2 linked regions of the Arabidopsis thaliana genome follow. The protein of the gene in region 2 interacts with the protein of the main gene of each other region in a pairwise test. Each region holds a gene or a part of one and is shown on either strand. Other genes may lie near its edges.

What was found.
Region 1: the proteins of AT1G20360 (region 2) and AT5G18260 interact in a protein complementation assay, tested with the Arabidopsis thaliana proteins (one large-scale study listed by BioGRID).

Annotation. Positions count from the first base shown.
Region 1 is NC_003076.8:6,035,527-6,040,037, forward strand, and holds AT5G18260 (RING/U-box superfamily protein), read right to left. Parts: upstream 2,581-4,511; 5' UTR 2,461-2,580; intron 2,195-2,460; 5' UTR 2,090-2,194; exon of another isoform or gene 1,985-2,089; 5' UTR 1,770-1,984; coding exon 1,575-1,769; exon of another isoform or gene 1,468-1,574; coding exon 700-1,467; 3' UTR 676-699; downstream 1-675.
Region 2 is NC_003070.9:7,045,796-7,049,521, forward strand, and holds AT1G20360 (F-box family protein), read right to left. Parts: upstream 1,950-3,726; 5' UTR 1,881-1,949; coding exon 972-1,880; 3' UTR 709-971; downstream 1-708.

The sequences.
Region 1 (4,511 bases), on a different chromosome or scaffold from region 2:
TTTGGAATTTCAAGATGAGATTTAGTGAATTAGGGTTTTTGACCAAAGGCTATAAAACTCGAGCAACCAAATCAATCAAATCTTCAAAACTACTTGATCTTATCTGAGCTGAGAAAAAGTGATTTATCGTTAGGGTTTCGGCCTTTTCGGGCCAATGAGCAACCCCAATATCCTTGGCTGGCGGCTCCGGTGACGGAAAGGTTTCGATTCCTTTTATCGTTAATTTCCCATTGTTTTCAGCGATGAAGACTGCTTGCTGCCTGAGCGCACGATTTTACTCGGCGCTGTGATGGCTATTGCGAGCTTTAACACCCACCCAACCAAATATTTATGTGTTTTTGAAAATTTTAGATTTTGATTATTTAAGGTTTCTTCTTCTAGCTTTTTGTTTTTGTTCGATTCGAATTTGTGGATTATGGTTTTGGTTTTCTGTTTTTGTTTTGTTTTGTTCTTATCAACTAGAAGAAAACTTAATTCGTGTGTAAGGCTTGTTGTTCCTAGTTAACTAGAGTTTCTTTGTAGCCTGAAATATAGATTTTGGATTACAAGTTAACTAAAATGCGTACTGCTTCTGTCTATAGTTTCCCAGACACTCGAGAAACTATAAGTTTGAAAAGATTCTTTCTTTTGTGTTATAACTATCGATTAGATCCAAGTAAAAGTTCAAAGAACCTAATTTAATCGGGTCATGTTGGATTTCTAGGAAGAAGATGAGAAGCTTATATTCAAACAGCAGCTGAGTTTGTCCCATTTATGGCTTCTTCTGGTATTGTGTCTTCTTTGATTGTCATTGGAAGGGACTCTTACTGTCTCTAATTCTAGAGCTGTGCGGCTTCTTCTGAGAGATCTTAGAGCCATTTGCAATGTTTCAGGTGCTATCAGTGGCTGTTCCATTACTCCAATGGTGTTTGAGCAAACAGGACAAGACGGGTCTCTGGTTTGAGCTGTTGGGGTTGCTTTGTCTAAACACTCAACATGGTAGACGTGATGGCAGGGGAAAACACCAGTGGCTGGCATGTCTCTGGATCTCAATATCTTGTATGAGCTCCATGGAGATTTCTGAGATAAAAGCTTCTTGCAAATCCCGCATCTTTGATGTGTCATTGAACCTTGTTCAGATCTCGGGTTTGCGACTTCTGTGTCATTGGATCTTTCAACATCTAGCAACATGTCATTGCTGCTCGAGTTTGGTGATACTTCTTCCTCTACTGGTGAGCCTTGGTGGTTTCTTGTGGACATCATGATACTGGAACCAGGATTTGTGGACGAGTCTTCTTGCGTATGATCAGGTTCAGGATTCTCACAAACTGAAACCGGGTTGCAGAAGACTCGAGGGTAAGAGCAGTGAGTAAGGCTGGAAGACTGATTGTTGGTCGGAGTCTCCCATGGGACAGATGACTCTGAAAGAGACAGCAACGATCTGAAACTCGTTGAGATGGCGGTACTGTCTCTATCAAAACCGTTCTCCTGAGCCGTAATTACATCAAAGAGCGACAAGGTTCAGCCAAAGATGAAACCAAGAAAAGCCCATCTTGAAGATTAATGACTTGATATGTAAAGAAGACCAAAATTACCTCGTTTAAGCATTGAGGATTTGAGCTATTTGGTCTTGTTAGACTATTATTAACCAAGGAGGTTTTCTGTTCGTTCCCATCAGAAGCAGATGAGTATGGAGCCCATCTTGGCGACTGCTGAAATCTGAATTCCAAACTTTTTCTTTGTCTACTGCTGCCCGAGTGCAATGCAAAAGCGGGACTCTCATCACTCATATCCTGTTCCAAACCATCTCTAGTATAGCCAGCAGCAGGTGAGAAGCTGAAATTTGTCCGCCATTGCAAGGCTTCAGCTTGACTTGATTGAGGAATATCCCTTCCGCTGTGGGGTGAAGATTTTGTTGTAACCAGTGGCCTTGAGGCCACAATACAACAGAGTGCACCCGTTTTGAGCTCTGGTTTATCCTCACCGCCTTCAAGGCCAAACAATGCTGCCAAAAGGAAGAGACTTGAAGAATGATTTCAGTTGAAACCAAAGTCGTCTTTTTGTAACTTGTAAACACTGTGGAAGGCTAAGTTAATGATTGTAATCTTACTTAATAAATGAAATTCTTGATTATACAGCCAAAATCCCCGAGTTTAGTGATTAGTATAAACACATTCATAAGTACCAAGCCATCTCTGCAGGGACAGGAACACACCTGAGACAAAATGGAAACAACAGTATTTGAGGATGCATATAAATTAAACTAACGCAATATTTAAGACAAAACACTAGATTCAGACTCGTAACAGCTGTTTTGAGCTCTTATAATCACAGAAGAAATTTAGACAGCAAAAGATTCATTGATGGAGAAACCAAAATAAACAAACCCAGGAAGAATTCGAGGAAGATAACCAAGTGTCGGTGAAAGCAGACTACAGATTATACAGAAAAGGAAGATTTTAAAAATCAAAGACAACAAACCTTCAAACTTTGGAAAATGATAACCTGGGTTTGAGAAAGAACTCTGTAATTTGGAGATGGCTGATATTTTGTAAAATCGATGAGAGTAAGAGAGAGCGCACTTCTCTTTACTTTTTCTTTGTCTCTTTTTTTTTTTTTTTTTTTTGAAATAAGAACGACAGAGACGACGACGACGGCTATGAGTTCTGTTCTGTAATGAGAGTGGCCAATTATTAACCCATTATTACTCCTTTTAAAAATTAGTATTTCTGGTTAATCCCCTCACTGATTTTTGTTGTTGTTTTTATTCTAACATTGGAATAATCACTAATGGCTATGATGTGATATGGCTATTATTAGAGTTACACATTATCTATTTTCATTAGGATATATAAAACTAAAAAAATATTAGTGAATCTTTAACAAAAAAGAAAAGAAGGTATTTACTATTTAGAGAAAGAAATGTGTTTTCATTTGAGTGAAATCCATTATAATATCAACTATTGTTATCTTAAAACCCAATTATTGGTATCATCGAATAAAGGTGTTTTCACTAGTACCTATCAAAATTCAACTTTCATCCTCAACTAACGAATAGATTACTCAATATTAAATCTTTGGTTAAGAGTACTGCAATATTGCTGAACTCCTAGTCTTAATTAGACAACTCTTTACGCAGTAATTTGCTACTTTTGACAGCAATTAACGCCTTTGATTAATCATTAATCTCTTACTTTTCTAACTCTTACTAAGTATTACTTTTCTTTCAAAAATTTCTTTCTTTTCAATATTTTTTTCACTTGCATAGCAAAACCATTTGCCCTTTTCTTTTTCTTGCTGAAAGATTAAAATTAAACATTTTTAAAAATGTGGGACTTCAGATTAAATTGTCTTTTTATGAACGAAACTAATGGACTTCATAAAGGCCCATAATATAATGTAGGCCTTTTTGGTCCAAACTATGGTCCATGGCATTACCATAAGCATATCTGCTTATTGTCTAACCTAATCCATTAAAAAGGTGAAAATTAAAGCAACAAAAATGAAATATGTATCGTTTGTAATGTTTTATTTTACATGTTTTAAAAGTGAAATGTTTTTTCATAACAAATCAGCTGTAAAAAGAAGCAACACATAGAAAATTGGTTCCACCTAAATAACTGCTCTGGACAACCGGTTAAGCAAAAAACATTTCCAAATGGTAAGAGGGTTTGATTCACACGTGTAGTCTATCGTTTAGAACCTAGGAGGTGGTACATTTGTATATAGTAAAATAAATTGTTTAAGCAGAAGGAAGAAGATAAGAGACAAAAGAAACGAAGCAATAGTAATCATCTAGAAACCTAAAAAGGGGAAGAGAACGGTTAGCTTTGCTGCAAGTATCGATCTAAAAGCTTCGCTTTAAATGGAAAGTCCTCTTTCTATGCACATTTTAATAATCCTCACATTCATGCATTTTTTTTTCTTTTTTCCAAAATATTACTAATATTTTATTCTAGTATATAATCTAGTTGTAACTACTGTAAGCAATGCTATGTTTATACACCAAAAAGTTTATGGATAATCTCAAATCCAAAATTGAACCAAAAAATAATAACAATAATCAGATTTATGTCCTGAATTTGAGGTGGAAGAGACTCACACGCTTTTTTGCAAATCATCATCATATAGTACATTGAACCAGAAGCCTCATTTATTTACGTACGGTTAATTGAGTTTTTATTTATTTATAACCGTTACATGATTATCTGTATATTAACGTTTAGAACTTTTTTGATAACACTATATGATTTTTAAGGGAATAAAAAAGGACTAATATAAGACTATATATCAAGAAAAATTGAAAACTATGTATTTGCATGGCATTATGTTTTTACATCTTTGATGTTAATGCCTTTTAATAATAACATTTACCAAGATGTTATTCCTTTGGTATTTTTCAAATCGGTGCATTTTCTTTAAAGGTGTTTGTCTTTGTCGTTTTATATATTAAAAAATATCAAAGAATTTAAAACAAAGAATATTATAGTAAATATACATTCAACCAAAAAACAGATCTGCTGCCAAATCTT
Region 2 (3,726 bases):
AAACCAAGGTTGAATAAATGAAACTTGCCATGAATCCCAATTGTCTCTGTTTTGCAGCAGCGTCAGTGTGTTTTCTCCCTCTCCCCATTGGAATGCGACGATCCCCATATTTGTTTTTGAAAGAATGTAAGTTTTGCGTAATACAAGCTTGTGTTGCATTTTATACAAGCTTCAGCTATCTCGCCAAAACTGGTTTCTAGTAGCACAATGTGCTATAGTAAAGTCAAATGGAAGACGTAGCGTTTCAACGTTTATAAATTGTTCCACTTTTGGTCTAGCTTTATTTTTTGCTCACTGAGTGATGGATCGGAGGAGTCATATGTATGTGGAACAATTTTTACAAGTCGGAGAGAAACTGAAATGAAACGGGAGGTTTTTGAGTTGTGTGATTGAATATATATGTTAAGAGAATTTTTCAAATCGTGAAATCAGATATAGTGGGGGTTAAATTCATACTCGTATAGCAAAAAAAACATTTTTTGTATTATTTTTTCAAAGCATTCGGACTTACAAAGTTTGTTCCTTGCCAAACAAGTAACCGAACACACCAATTAATGTTAAGAACATTAGAACAAAGAGAAGATATCGGAAAACATGTCATCACAAAAATACGAAGTACTCTCAGTGCTTTTGGACAAAGTAACTAACACGGTCCACAAAAAGACTATAACCTAAGCCATTCGAGGAATAAATGAATTAAGGTGAAACAATGAAAAACGTAACTCACTGTTACTTGGTTGTATTAACGAGTCTCATAATAGAAATTAGATAGAAGACGCGATGTTCATTACAATCTACTATCGCTTTATAATTTTGCTCACCCTCCTCAACAGGACATCAGGACGGCGTAAACTTATAGAAGTCCCAGACTGCACCGGCCGTATATATGATCGACCCTAAAACTCCCCAACTGTTAGTTTCCATGTCGTACACATGAACTACACCATTTAAACGATTCTTTTTCTTCTCCCTCACCAGAAGACGCTTGCCATCGTACACAACCATGTTCCAGCATTCAACTCATTTTCTTTCAGAGATACGTTCTTGATCCGCCTAGCGAGACCCCATTTGAGATTCCCGAGTAATGTGTAAACTGAGATTGTTTGTTTTGTCCCTGATATTAAGGTCAAGCGATTGATCTTATCATCTGCCGCAAGTAACAGTTTCATATCCGGTACTTCCTGATGAAAACCGGAAGGAATCAAGCGTGCTTGCTCTGTCTCGGGATTGAAAGCTATGATGCTCCCGTCGTTTCTCAACCAATGAAGAGTGCCTTCCAAGTAAACAGGTTTCATCCACTTGGTGAGATCACTTTTTGAGTCAGCATTGATAGTCGTTTTTGATAATCTCCATGAATCGCCGTCGTTGATTTCGAATTCATACCTCGTCTCCATCTCAAGTATGCAGACGATCTTGAATCTCTTTCGATCAACCGCAAAACCAACGCACATCGCTCTCTCCGGATGTGCCAAATAAATCCAGCGATCACCACTTAGCGTAGGTATAAACTTTGAGCCAGAAGGATCCAAATATCGAAACCTCTTTGTGAGGGGATTTGCGACGAAGAGGCCACCGATGTACAGTAGGAGAAGGCCAGAGCATGACCCCAACATGTAACATCGGAAATTACCTTGAATTGCTTTTTCCCCCATTGACATAGATTTGCATGAAGAGACTAAAGGCTGGCACATGACGTATCTGGCGCCACCGGGGGAAAGGTTATACAAACTGGATTCTAACCGGGAAAAGTATTCGGATTCAAAAAGCGGGTCAGATATATGCGAATTGATAGTTCTATTTGTGGATTTCATCATCGCCAGAGATTTGGGTTCCAATCTGAAAAGAATTTGGTCGAGGAGATGCAAAGGTAAGCTGTTCATAATCAGAGATAAATCAAAGTGAGAACTTATGTAGTTAAGTTTGATACTTTTGTCTTCTTTTATTTCAATGATTCGCTGATGAGGTTCTTAGAGAGAATTTTTATAACCAACAAATTGCCCCCAAAAATAAGAAGAAGGAAAAGTAACAATCAATGAAAGGAAAATGCAACACAAATTTCACCATTATAAGAAATGTAAAATTACTCAATTTTATTATAAAGTAACTTTATGACATTTCTATGGATTTGGAAATAAAAATATATTAGATGTAATTTATGAAATCATGAATATTCATAAGATTATGTATTCATAGTATTATATCTGAATGCAGAAATATACACTATATGTCTATATCCAATATTAATTAGCTTTATTATTATAATAATAAAATACTAAATGTCAACAAATACTTTATCCAATTATAAATATTTTGATTAATTTCTTAGAATTGTAAATTTAATTTTATAAAAGTTGGATTAAACTCATAATTGGACAACACTCCCAATACAGTAAAAAAAAAACTCTATAGATTAATAACTTTAAGACCATAATCTTTTATTAATTTATAGTGATATTAACTTATAAAGAAAATTGTTTTAATTGTTAAAAAATTTGAAAGGGATGAGTTGAGATAATTTTGTCTAAATAAAATTTGTGTGTTTAAATGTTATAAGTGTTGTAGTCTTAAACTCGAAATTTAAATATTTAGATTTTTTTCGAAAATAAATTAGACAATAAAATACAAAGACAATAGATGAATTTACTTATACAAATGATATACCTAAATTCAAATTTATTATTAATGACTTGGAGTATTGTATTTTAACATTTATAAAACTATCGAAATGAAAATGATTCATATCTAAAAAGGGAAAACTTAAATCAAATTTGACTATTTATGTAACATAGTTATAGAGTTCTACTACAAGATTATAGTTTAAAAACGTTATTATTACTTTATAATATTAACTGGGCTATATGTTCAATCCTGTCATGATGTGTTCTTTGTTCATCAAGAGAATCAATTACATGTTTTAGATGTGGCTGAGTATGGTGCGGATTTGACAGGTATAAAGACCAGACCTTTTTGCATATCAACTGTTCGGTAGAATGCTTGTTAGTACATTCAAATAGAGAGAATGATAAGGGTTTGAAATCAGCCGCACGCACAATCACGTCTTATATTTCAAAAGTTTGTGCGAAAGCCAAAGAAGAGAAAGTTGCATATAAGAGCATTGAAGAAGTTATTCTTTGTTGTAGAATTTCAACATTCAGAAAACCAACTCTTATTTATTTAGATAGAAGATATATCTGATGCAATAATGTTCTTACACTAGAGTGACCCAGGAAATAGGTTTCCCTGAATCTTAACAAGGTAAATAAATTAGAGAGATCTATTTACAGCATCAATATATGAGATTATTTATTATAGATAGTTATATTCGGACGCTGCCCAATGTTTCTTTGTAACTCTATTGGATGTTGAAAGCGAAGTCGTGCGTGTTCCATGCACCATTCTGATAGAAATAGCAAACCACGACTCCTCGTTCCTTTGGCACCGACTACTCAATACGTCGTCATATAAAACATCCCAAGACGCCCCACTTACGAGCCTATTAACAACTCATAGAAAGATTTGGAAAAAAACGCCAACTAAGTACTTATCAACAATGTCGATGCACAAATTAAGACAAAAAAACGTCCAATGAATATTAAACATGCCTGTGTTTGAAATTGTCTTGGTTCATCAGCAGCGTCAGTTGGTTGTTGTCTCCCTCTCCCCATTGGAAAACTACGCTCCCACTCATTGTTTTGAAAGAATATAAGTTTTGCTATTTCTATCTCT